Linked DNA regions of Callithrix jacchus. The protein of the gene in region 2 purifies or fractionates together with the protein of the main gene of each other region. This does not show direct contact. Links are inferred from orthologs where the notes say so. Each region holds a gene or a part of one and is shown on either strand. Other genes may lie near its edges.

Evidence for each region.
Region 1: the proteins of RAB5A (region 2) and RABGGTA purify together in Homo sapiens (affinity purification with mass spectrometry; 3 studies listed by BioGRID and IntAct, counting the BioPlex papers as one, with this or other methods). This does not show direct contact. The link is inferred for Callithrix jacchus from reciprocal best matches to the Homo sapiens genes RAB5A and RABGGTA.
Region 3: the proteins of RAB5A (region 2) and CHM purify together in Homo sapiens (affinity purification with mass spectrometry; 3 studies listed by BioGRID and IntAct, counting the BioPlex papers as one, with this or other methods). This does not show direct contact. The link is inferred for Callithrix jacchus from reciprocal best matches to the Homo sapiens genes RAB5A and CHM.

Annotation. Positions count from the first base shown.
Region 1 is NC_133509.1:58,570,459-58,574,660, reverse strand, and holds the start of RABGGTA (geranylgeranyl transferase type-2 subunit alpha), read left to right. Parts: upstream 1-1,358; 5' UTR 1,359-1,786; coding exon 1,787-1,789; intron 1,790-1,954; coding exon 1,955-2,065; intron 2,066-2,441; coding exon 2,442-2,566; intron 2,567-2,756; coding exon 2,757-2,944; intron 2,945-3,181; coding exon 3,182-3,385; intron 3,386-3,711; coding exon 3,712-3,795; intron 3,796-3,880; coding exon 3,881-3,963; intron 3,964-4,051; coding exon 4,052-4,153; intron 4,154-4,202. UniProt on the Homo sapiens protein: Catalyzes the transfer of a geranylgeranyl moiety from geranylgeranyl diphosphate to both cysteines of Rab proteins with the C-terminal sequence -XXCC, -XCXC and -CCXX, such as RAB1A, RAB3A, RAB5A and RAB7A.
Region 2 is NC_133518.1:58,465,252-58,468,804, reverse strand, and holds part of RAB5A (ras-related protein Rab-5A), read right to left. Parts: intron 2,825-3,553; 5' UTR 2,732-2,824; coding exon 2,569-2,731; intron 1-2,568. UniProt on the Homo sapiens protein: The small GTPases Rab are key regulators of intracellular membrane trafficking, from the formation of transport vesicles to their fusion with membranes.
Region 3 is NC_133524.1:83,479,735-83,484,069, forward strand, and holds the start of CHM (rab proteins geranylgeranyltransferase component A 1), read right to left. Parts: upstream 2,843-4,335; 5' UTR 2,797-2,842; coding exon 2,782-2,796; exon of another isoform or gene 2,597-2,781; intron 1-2,596. UniProt on the Homo sapiens protein: Substrate-binding subunit of the Rab geranylgeranyltransferase (GGTase) complex.

The DNA.
Region 1 (4,202 bases), on a different chromosome or scaffold from region 2:
CTGTGGAGTTCAAAAAGTTAAATCTTAGAGATAAACAGGAGTTACTGTGGCAAAGGAGGGGCACAGAGAAAGGAGAGTGAAGAAGAGGGAAGAGGCTAACATTTAGGGAACTGCATGTATTTCTGTAGGCTGTCATGAAGAGTTTTTAGCAGGGTCAGCAGGACGTAGGACCAGAGAGTAGGCAGAGCCCAAACGCCAAAAGGTCTGATGTGCTAGGCTGAGAGATTACAATTCTGTCCTGAAAAGGAGCCACTCAGGGCTTTTAGGCAGAGATATAACATCAAATCTGCATTTTAGAAAGACTGATTCAGCAGCACAGAGGAGGTACTGATAACACAAGGGACGCAGTGGAAGACACTGAAAAGACCTTCAACAATCTGGAAAAGAAATTTGAAGTTTGAACTCTTAAAGGCAGTGGAAATAGAGAGTATTTAAGCGAGTTTAAGAAGTGGGGAGGAAATAGTGCCATTCGCTACAATAGAAAACATAAAGGCCAATGTTGAGACAGGATGGATGAGAGACAATTTATACCTTTTGGCTTTTGGAGTTTGAGGTGTCTCTGGAACACTCAGGTGAAATGCAATAGGTGTTTGAATATGTATGTGCATGTATATTATTTATTGTTATTTAAGCTTCCAAGACATCTGGGCTGGAGATATAATTTTGGGTGTCATCAACTTATAGGTAGTAATTAAAACAATGAGTGTGGATGATGTCACCCAGAGAAAGTGTGATGCCAGATTTGTGGGCCAAAAGAGAGAGCTCTGCAGAACTCCAACTCTAAGCAGTTGAAGACTTAGATTTAAACATTCTCCCAGTAACAGTGTATGCAGTGGAAAAGGGGTGAGGAAAGGGCCCTGGAGATCACCACATTTAGGGGAGCAGGTGAACAGATGAGAAGAGAGAGGCAGACGTGCGGGATGAGAAGCCAGAATGGGAGTGCCAAGTGTAAAGAAGTGGGTAGGGTCAAATGCTTCAGAGGTAAGAGAAAATGACAGGGAGTTCAACTCCACCTGTTAGATTTAACTTCTAGAAGGTTGTCGGTGTGGCCAGGGTAAGGTCAGTGGAGTAGTGAAGGTGTGGGTTTCCAGCCATTGGAAAACCTTTTCCACTAACTACACTGCACTTTGAGTTACCAACCAGCATGGTCCGCCCCCATTTCACATGCACGCTACAGTCGCACGAGCGCACTCGTACACACCAGGTGGCTAATAGGTACAAGCGTGTCCTGACACCGAGCGCAGAGCCCCCGCGCACGCGCCTCCGAGCCGCCTCCTCCGCCGCAGGCCCTTCCCCAAGCCTGCAGAGGGCGCTGCGCTTCGGTGAGCCGGGACGTGGCGCCGCTCTAGCCAGCTCCTGGGCTCTGTAGCGGGCGCCGCAGCTCTGCGTCCCCCGCGCCTCCTCCCAGCGCAGGTGGGTCCGCCCGCGGGGGGCGGGGGTGCCCGGGAGCCGTGGGATGGGCGGGTAGCGGCAACCTTTGGGGCGCAGAGTGGTCTCCATCGCCTAGGTGTCCCGGCTGGGGCTTTGGCCGTGGCGAATCCAGCTATGGGAAGGGCCACACGGATGGAAGTCCTAGTCCGGGTATTCGCCTCTTCCTGAATGTGCAACACCTGTCCCAGGACCTCTTTACACCCTCGGGGTCTCTGCCCAGGCACGCTTGCTGCTTCCGGGACACAGCTGAGGGCGGAGCTAGTAGGGGCGGGGCTACGTGATTGACACCTCTCTCCTCAGACTTCCAAGGGCTGCTACTGGACCCTTACCCTGTCTTGAACCCTGAGCCGGCACCATGGTGAGAACCCTGAGCCCCGCCCTTCACCTCCGCAGGCCCGTGCCCTCACCCCGAGTGGCTGTGCCTTGGTTGCCCCGCATGAACCTGGGGCTCCACAGTGTGGAGTTTTTGCAGGTCAGCTCCTGCAAGGCAAACTGCACTCTTCCAACCCGTTCATCCTTGTAGCACGGACGCCTGAAGGTGAAGACGTCAGAAGAGCAGGCGGAGGCCAAAAGGCTAGAGCGAGAGCAGAAGCTGAAGCTGTACCAGTCAGCCACCCAAGCCGTATTCCAGAAGGTGGGGCCCTCAGAGGTAGCCCCAACCCCAGGAGGCTACCTCAGTATAGTACACAGGTCAAGAGCTGGTCCCTAGAGTCAGACTGCCTGGATCCAATTCTGGGTTCTCTCACTTATAACTATATGACCTTGGACAAGTTGCTGAATCGCTGGGCCTCAGTTTGCTCCTCTGTAAAATGGAGCTAATAATTGTACCTACTGCATAAGGCTGTTGTGAAAATTAAATGAGAGAATACTTGTAAAGCCATAAAGCATGGTTCATAGTACCTGTTGTATAGTGTGGGATTCACAGAATATTGGGTGGTTCTATATTTATGTTATTTAGTCCTGTAGTGGGCAAATGGTATGATCTCTGACCCTGCTACCTGTCTTCTCAGCGCCAGGCTGGTGAGCTGGATGAGTCAGTGCTGGAACTGACAAGCCAGATTCTGGGAGCCAACCCTGATTTTGCCACCCTCTGGAACTGCCGACGAGAAGTGCTCCAGCAGCTGGAGACTCAGAAGTGCGTAGGGGTTCAGGGTCTTAGAAGACTGCCCTGGCCCTGCACCTGCAGTGCCTGGGTCCAGGGGTGGAGGAGAAATGTGGCAGCCAGTGGCATAGATGGAGGACAGTAGGGGGCTGGGTACAGAAAGTGAGGGGTGAGCTGAGGTTGAGTGTAGGAAAGCCCTGACCCTGCTTCCCCTTGGGTGCAGGTCTCCTGAGGAATTGGCTGCTCTGGTGAAGGCAGAACTGGGCTTCCTGGAGAGCTGCCTACGGGTGAACCCCAAGTCTTATGGTACCTGGCACCACCGAAGCTGGCTGCTCGGCCGCCTGCCTGAGCCCAACTGGGCCCGGGAGCTGGAACTGTGTGCCCGCTTCCTGGAGGTCGATGAGCGGAACTGTACGTTCCTGTAGATTCTGTCCCCACAGTCTTCACCTGCCCACATTCTGGTGCTGGAGCCTCATTAAGGCCCAGAATGGGGATGGATATCCAGGATGGGTCCACTGAGCTGGTGCTGAAAGGGATGATGGAGTCAAATGCATCCTCTGTGAAGTGCACTGAGGTGTTTCTAGGGGTTCCAGCCAGGTAGCTCCTCTTGCCCTGCTTCTAATATACGCTGTCACCTCTCCCCTCCAGTTCACTGCTGGGACTATCGGCGTTTTGTGGCCTCACAGGCAGCAGTGCCCCCTGCAGAAGAGCTAGCCTTCACTGACAGCCTCATCACCCGAAACTTCTCCAACTACTCTTCCTGGCATTACCGTTCCTGCCTCTTGCCCCAGCTGCACCCCCAGCCAGATTCTGAACCACAGGGACGCCTCCCTGAGGATGTGCTGCTCAAAGGTAAGCAGGGTCAGGGGTGCTCGGGAGGACTCTGCAGTGCCACCCTTCCAGCCCCCATGCCTGACCCTATTCCTGAACCTGTCACTCGGATTTATTGAGCACCTACTTCATGCCTGGCTCCATGAGTGCCTAAGACTCAGTCCCTGGCTGCAGAGAGCTCAAGTGTCTGATGGGGAAGATAAAATTGACATATGCAGCCCCTGTGCAAGGACAGCATATAAGTGAGACTGGGGGTTGGAAGTACTCCAAGGAGAGAGTAGGGTGTTGAAGTGGCCAGGAGCCAACCATTGGCCTAACCACAGCCCATGCCTCCCGGAACCCCACAGAGCTGGAGCTGGTGCAGAATGCCTTCTTCACTGACCCCAATGATCAGAGTGCCTGGTTCTATCACCGTTGGCTCCTAGGCCGAGGTGAGCAATGAGGAAAGGGGCTGGGTATTTAGGGCTTGATAGGAGTGGGAGAGGGTTTAAGATCTGATGCTGTGTTTCCCCGTAGCTGACCCCCAGGATGCACTGCGCTGCCTACATGTGAGCCGGGATGAGGCCTGTCTGACTGTCTCCTTCTCTCGGCCCCTCCTAGTGAGTCCTGCAGCTTTTGTCAAGAGCACTGTGGGATTGTGGGCCTGGTGCTGTTGGGGCTGAAGTCTCTCTTTGTCCCTTGTACCAGGTAGGCTCCAGAACGGAGACCTTGCTGCTCATGGTTGATGAGTCTCCCCTGATTGTGGAGTGGAGGACCCCAGATGGCAGGAACCGGCCCAACCATGTCTGGGTATCCCAGGATTGGTGGGGCAGAACTGGGGGTCTGAGGCAGAGCTGGG
Region 2 (3,553 bases):
ATAAAAGAACAGTGTCCGCAGCTGTAATCATAATGGTACTGTTATACCTCCTGAATAGTATGAACATGGGATCAGCACAATGAAAAAGTGTCCAAAAAGGATTAACAGAAATTTGGGCTGGGGCAGTGGCTCATGCCTGTAATCCTAGCACTTGGAGAGCCCGAGGCAGGCAGATCTCCAAGGAGACCTAGTTCAAGATCAGCCTGGCCAACATGGTTAAACACAATCTCTACTAAAAATACAAAAATTAGCCAGGAGTGGGGGCGCACGCCTGTAGTCCCAGCTACTTGGGGGCTGAGGCACAAGAACTGCTTGAATTTGAGAAATGGAGGTTGTAGTGAGCCAAGCCTGCACCACTGCACTCCAGCCTGGGCAACAGAGACCCTGTCTCAAAAAAAAAAGGATTAATAGAAATTTGGATGCAAATTCCCCTTTGTTTTTAAATAGGAAGCTTTATACATAGAAATTAAAATCTACGAAAAATTCATTAATGAAATCTAGACACTCTAATTGGTGTTAAATGGAGATTATACATAGATACACACATACCAGAGATATTATTTATGATACACTGGATATGGGGTTGTACTTTTACTTTAAACATCCTTCTTGAGCTATCATTAAAATAAAATAAACTTAGAAGTGGACTATCCAAAACAAGATAAAATTTCCAGTCTTAAGTTCTTGCAAAGCTCTGCAGAAATTAAGTTCTATACTACAGTACTTCAGAGTTTTTATTATATTACTAAAATGTTTTTTTAGTAAATATTAGTAAAACAATATTTTAGTAAAATAATATTTAACATTTTACTAAAACTTTTAACAAAAAATAATTTTTTGTCTTACTAAAAAAAAAAAAAATCACATATGGATGTGCCTTCAGAAAAAAAAAAAAAAAAAACCACAAAGGGTATCTAATATATCACGTATTAACATTTTTTAAAATGCCAAGACTTCTGACTCGAAATAAAAGCTCCATGATGCTTTCTGATACTCAGTCATTAGAAAAAAACAAAACATTCTAATACAACATTGTAACAAGACACACAAAGGCCAGGAGGTAGTAGAGTTCTGTAAATTATCTTACTAGAATGGGTCTAAGTTTATGAATAACATTCTCAAATGTATTTGCCTAAGAGCACTCACTAAATGCACAGTATAAAATTTTGCTTCTTAAAGATTCTAAGAAGTTGCCACATGCCAGTTGGTATCTACCAGTCTCATGTACTTCAAAAGTGTGACTTTAATTTTGCAATATGGGGTTAAAATATATACATAAATACCTTGGAAAACAGCATTGTTTATATATATATATATATATATGCAAAATACTGTGAATCTCAAACTGTGTAGTTCTTCCCACACATCATCTTATTGAAAAGCATCATTTCACAGACAAAACAGAGGCACAAAAGAGGCTATCTTGTCCCAGTGTTAAATAATTACAGGTTTCTTTAATCAAAGTTAATGTATTTTTTTAAGAGATGTGGGTCTCATTATGTTGCCCAGGCTAGACTTGAACTCCTAGGCTAAAATAATCCTGGGACTACAGGCATGCAGCACCATGCCGAGCTAAAATTCAATTTTCGCACTTCACGTCTTCTCTTGACAATACTGTACTGTTTGTTGTCCCCTTTTTGCCCTGCATCTTACCTTCCCCTCATCTCTGTCCCGCCATAACCACCTTGTGCAGTGCCTACTCTTTCCCTTCTTTCATCTTTTTCTCCACGTTCCATTTTCCTGTCATGTCCCTTTCCGATAATCGCTTTTTCTCTTCCCTCAGCTTAGGAGCATTCTTACATGTACGTCTTAGCAGGGAGCACCTGTAACCAGAGTTACCTGGGAGGTTGAGGCTGGAGGCTCACTTGAGGCCAGGAGTTCAAGACCAACCTGGAAACACAGCAATACTCTGACTCTTTAAAAAAAACGAAACAAAACAAAAAACTTTCCTGGCAGGATGGCATGCACTTGTAGGCCCAACTACTTGGGAGGCTAAGGCAGGAAGATCATCTGAGCCCAGAGTTCCAGGCTGCAGTCTGCAGTGAGGTATGATCCTGACACTGCACTCCAGTCTACACAACAGCAAGATCCCATCTTTCAAATAACAAAAAAAGTACATCTAACAGTATTTAAATAATTTGACAAGTATAAATTATTCAAATAGTTCAGTTATATAGATCAGAATTTAAGGTTACCTTTTTTACTATTCATTTCAAGCCAACATAATTGAGCACAAATATGTACTGTATTAATTTGAAGAAGCTTCTAGTTATCAGCAAGAAATAGATACCAGATCAAATCTTATAACTTGAAACACTAATTCTACTCATGTTTTTAACTATATTTTAGCTACAATATAACCACATGGAATTAACCAAACAATCAAATGTAAAAAGACATCGTTTCAACAAAGATAAAGGCAAGTTTTAAAGCTTAAGGTCAGCTGAATAACTCTTTTCTTCACTCTGTGACTTATTTAGCTATTCATAATCACACAATTGGAACATCAAAATATTTTCTGTCAAGGTATGATTTGATGAAATGAAGCAGGGAAAAAAAATATCTCACCTCCAATGGTACTCTCTTGAAATTCATGAAACTGGCCTTTCACAAAACGAAGCACTAGGCTTGATTTGCCAACAGCAGACTCTCCCAGAAGTACTAGTTTGAACTGGCATATTTTATTTCCAGTATTTGGCCCGTTGGGTCTTGTTGCACCTCGATTAGCCATGTCCAAATTTGAAATAAATCCCTAATTTCAGACTCTTCAATGAAGTTCCAGAATTCAAGGCGTCAATCTTCTTCTTTCTGGAGGTAAAGAAACCTGCAAAGAAACAATTATGAAGTAAATGTACAAATCAGTAAAGCAAATTTACTATTAATCACTTTAAATTTTGCCTATAGCATATTATGATTATTTTAAGCTCTACTAGACCTTCAACATCCTTTAGAATAGGTCACTATCTTTTACAGGAAATTTAAAGGTATAGGATTTGAGCTCAAAATCACTTTTTTTTTTTTTTAAGGCTAACCTCTCAAAGCTTCAACTTTGTGCCAGGCAGTACTTTAAGTACTTAACTTCTCAACAATCCTATAAAATGAGATATTATTACAATCCTTATAAATGAGGAAGCAAGCCCAGAGATGTGAAAAAGCTTACTTGAGGTCACAGAGTTACTGTGACAGAAGTGACACAGAGCTGAGTTTCAAATCCAGGGAACCTGAGAGATGACTCAAGAGTTCAAGTTCTAGAGCCAGGCTACTTGGGTTAACATTTTTTTTGAGAAAAATTATGTTATTAATAACTGAGAAGCTTTTAGAGCAGATCCAAGAATTTATTATTACTTAAAGTCTTCTGTTAAACAATGTTTAATGGTAATTTCGACAACAAATATTTTCAGTCACCTGGGTTTGTGTGCCTAATGGCGGAAAGACTTAAAACTGTTTCCTCATCTGCTCAAGTATACCACACATAGAAATGTTAACAGTTGTTTTCTGTGTGGTGGGATTATTACTCATTTATTTACTTACACTAACTAACTTTTTTGTAGTT
Region 3 (4,335 bases), on a different chromosome or scaffold from region 2:
GGATTCCCCTATGTATAAAGCATGTCAATATTATCAAACAGATCTTGTAATTTCCATCTTGCCTGCTCTTCTGCTGAGTTCTTGGCTCTGCTGTGCTGCAGATTACACAGGTTGCCAGATAAGTCACCTCCAGTAAGATGTTCTGTTACTGGGACTATTTTTAACCTGAAACCAATGGTACTTGTCTATAATCCACAAAGCTGTCACTTAAATGACTTTTTACATGGCAAAATACACTGAAAATGACAATTCTGTACCCAAGCTGAGGACCACTTTCTAGACACTTACCACATACATCTATTTATCCTCTCCCTTGAGACTCCATTGGCTTCTCCTTCTTTATTCCATTTTCTTCTATTTTTTTCAGAATTCATTTTATCTTACTCTTCTATCTTTGGGTGTTCAAGACATATTTACTGTATTTTCTAATCAGAAGGAGATGGGCTTAACTAAGAAAATACAAAGTTTTTTTTTCCCATAATCTCCTGAAAATATGATCTTAAGGAAAAGTTTCCATCTTGTATTATAGAAAATGAGAATACAAGTTAATCAAGGTAAAAGGGATTATAGAATATTGTCTTCACGTGATTATACTTGATGAAGCAATTGTCCCTTTATGATATTTTAATTAGAACTAAATCTGCTAAAAAGGACATCTAATAGCCTATTTCTTCATATTTCTGATGCATGCATTATTGCTTCTGCTTTTGTTAATGCAACTGAATCTATGAAACACTGCTTTTTCTATGATTTACTCAAGGTAGTACATTTAATAAATCAAATATTTTAAAGGCTACTTTCAGCAAACTATTTCACAAAAGAAATATTCCAAGCACAGTAAAAAATAAATCCAATTGAGCAATGATTGGAATGGTTGGGATCATTTATTTGGGAAATGACTCTTTTATTCAATTTTTACACTTCTGATGTACCTAAAAACAAAATTACACATCATAAATTTAAGCAATTTAAGCAATGTGCTTGATAAAACCTGGAATGTCACCAATAAACAATATGAAAAATTTAAGTTTTAAGACTAACTTCAAACAAGTTCTTCCCAAACACTGAAAAATAACATTGCACTGACTGAGACAAGTATAAAATAAGTCTTTTTCCAAATATAAGCTACGTCTCCTGATGCAATTTTCTGGGTCACTCACTGTAACTTCCTACCTCTACCATAACAGATTCTAACAGAATAGATATATTCCAATTCTGAACTGTACAGAAGGCGAAATATTTATGAAAAGCATTAGCAGCACTTCATAATAAGAACAAACATCAATTACAATTTGAACCCAGACCTGAAAAAAAAAACTGTTGATTAAAAAAATTGTTAAAAACACCTCAAGTTCCTAGGTAACCAAAAAAAAAAAAAAAGCAAGAATATAAAACTCAAGTATGGTATAACAACTATTCCAAAATGGATGTTGTTCTCAGTTTTAGTATAGACTGGAAAGAAAAAAATGAATCATCCATTGGCTCTTTCCAGCTCTCATCCAACATCTGTTCATAGCAACCACAACCAGGTTATTTGCAGCCATGCAGATATTTTCAGGCTAAGAAGAAACATGTCCGTGCTGTTCTGAGAACTGTTACCCAGGCATTTTTTGCTAGACAACATACAGACCATCTAATTTACCTTCCCTATATTCAAAAACAAGGAAACTGAGGCTCAGAGAGATTAAGTACCTGGCCCTCCCAATTCAAGTAATTCACACTAGCACTAAGCAAAGCCTAAAACCAAGTTTTCTCATTTCTACTAATATGGGTCAACTCTGAGGGTCAGAACCACTGACTGTTTTTCTGGGATGGAATGGGCCTTTGGAAATTTGCCAGCTGTGTGATCCTGAGCAAATTCCCTTTCCAAGTCCCCTTTTCTTCATCCACAAAATGTAGAAAGTACCTACTACTCTAACAAGGCTGTGAGGATTATGTCCAGCTTGTAAAGTGCTTAGCACAGTGATTAGGAAATTTTAGGCATTCGAAACAGGTAGCTATGATTTTTACTCCCAATCTGAAAACATGGCTGCTCCTAATCATGGCTGTTTGAGAAGACAACGAACTGAATTCATTAACACAATGGACAGGGTCCCATCCACTAGAGCTTCTCTGGCCTACCTTTCTACAAACAGTAGAAAACCCCACCAAACAACCTATTTCATCCCATCTAAAACGATCATCCATTACACTATTTTAAAAAAAAATCCAATTGCTGCCATGTCTTCTGCCACGTGTTGTATATTTAATATGTGAACTAGAAATTGCAGAGGAATTTCTGGTTCCACCCAAAACATGAAGAACAAACGACGGGAAAACAAGAGTTAGATAAGGTCAAACACCTGAACTGGAACTCAGGACCTTGTTCTCAGCACATTCAGTTATGGGTGGTAGAAAGCAAGATGCTTTAAGCACCATAAAGCAGGAATAATGGCTACCTCAACAAAATATAATTCCCTAGGTTTCTCAACACAATAGAATCCGTTTGCTTTCCCTAGTAAATTCATACGCACGTGGACAATAATTGAGCATCTTTCTTGTAAAACTGAGGATGAAGCTGTGTCTGAGCTGCGATGTACCGTAGGATCATACAAACCTATGAAAACGTCCTATGAAATGGCGAGACAAAATGATGGGGAATGTCACCTCGAAATCAACAGGAGGGAATCATAATGTCATGCCAAAATCGTCTCCGTTGATAAAATCCCGACCCTCCATTTCATGACACTGCACATCCACTTCCCTCTAAGGAAATTAACAGGAATCACCTCAGCAACCAACCTCAGCAATCGACATCTACCAGATCAACCCCTACTCAAATGGCGATAAGCACCGCGGGTCCAAGCCCCTCCCTGTAGCCGCCAAGTCCCGCGCTGACTCCGGACTACCTCACTTCCTTTCCGTTCTCCCTCCCACGCTCGACCCAAGACGTTTCTCCCAAAACTCGCCACTGACAGAAAAAGTACGAACAAGACAGTCTTCCTAAACTTTGTCCGGTAAGTACCAGGATACACATACCCGTCCCTATTACGATTACATCAAACTCCGAGGGGAGAGTATCCGCCATCTTGACGGGAAACGTGTCATGTGACTATTACTTGTGGAAGTGAGATCAAGTTAGGCATTCCCTCGGTAGAAGGCGGAAAGGAAAACAATGCATTCTGGGTGTTGTAGTTCTTGGGTGGAAGGTCCAGGTAGGCGACTACAGTATTAAAACGTTTACACTTAAGTTAAAAGCTCGACTCATTTTCCAGGCTGAGTGCGGTAGCTCATTTAGCCTGGAAATAGAAAAGAGATGTAGATTTTTATTCCGTTAGCCAGGATGAGTGTGGGAGACTTGGATACCGGTTGACAATACTGAGGCAAGAATTGTGAAGACACCACGGAGAGGGGAGTGAAATTGAAAAGAGTTTGCTCTGTGAACAAAGGAGATTTTCATTCCAGCCTAAAAACCTGTTTCCCGCCATCGTATCTGTATTTCATGTTGGCCCTCGAGGCACAGTTTTTCACACCAATACTTTCTAACTATATTCCATATCTTTTTAGTTTCCATGTCTCCTCAATGAAAACCCACGAAAATCCTCTCACCCTAGTTTCGCCAGAATGAAGCTCTCACCGCGTCCGTATTTGTTCTAATTAGTCCAAACACCCGCTTGGGCAATAGATTAGCCTTGCTTTACAGGAGGGAAAAAATATACGAGAGCATAGTTGTCCTGGATAAGCGTTTGTTGAGTCTGAATTTGATTTTCCACGCGAACTAGACAAGTTCATGTAAGATTCTCTTTAGTTTCATTTAGTTTCCAATCTATTAGTTTCCATAAGCTACCGTAGAAATGATTAAGGTAAAATGGCGTTTATATTAAAGTGATTGTATTTGATGAGGGGCTTTAGGTCGTCTATGCCTAACAGCTAACATAGTTCTCATAAGTATCTTAAAGGTTTGTCGCCTCCCACCGCTCCCCTCCATCCTCCCTGCTCCCGATTATTTAAAAACACTCCGCTGTCTGACAACACCAAAGCAAAAGGGAAGTGATGCTGGGAATGAAGGATACTTTTTTGATGACAGAAATTTTTTGTTTAGTTATTTTACAAGAGTTTCAAAATAAATCAAAGATAGAGTGCAATAGTGGGCCTTCCCTAACACCACCTGTCCTCTAAGATGCTAATGGTTCTCCAGACATTGTTTTCTTTCCAGTCTCATTCACCACCCTCATGCTGTTCTTTCAGCACGGAACGATCTTCCCATTCACTAGCTAACAGTTATTCTGAAGATATCGTTGGGCTTCCACCCCCTCATCCTTTCATCTCCGTGTGTGGGCTGTTTCCCTACATGGT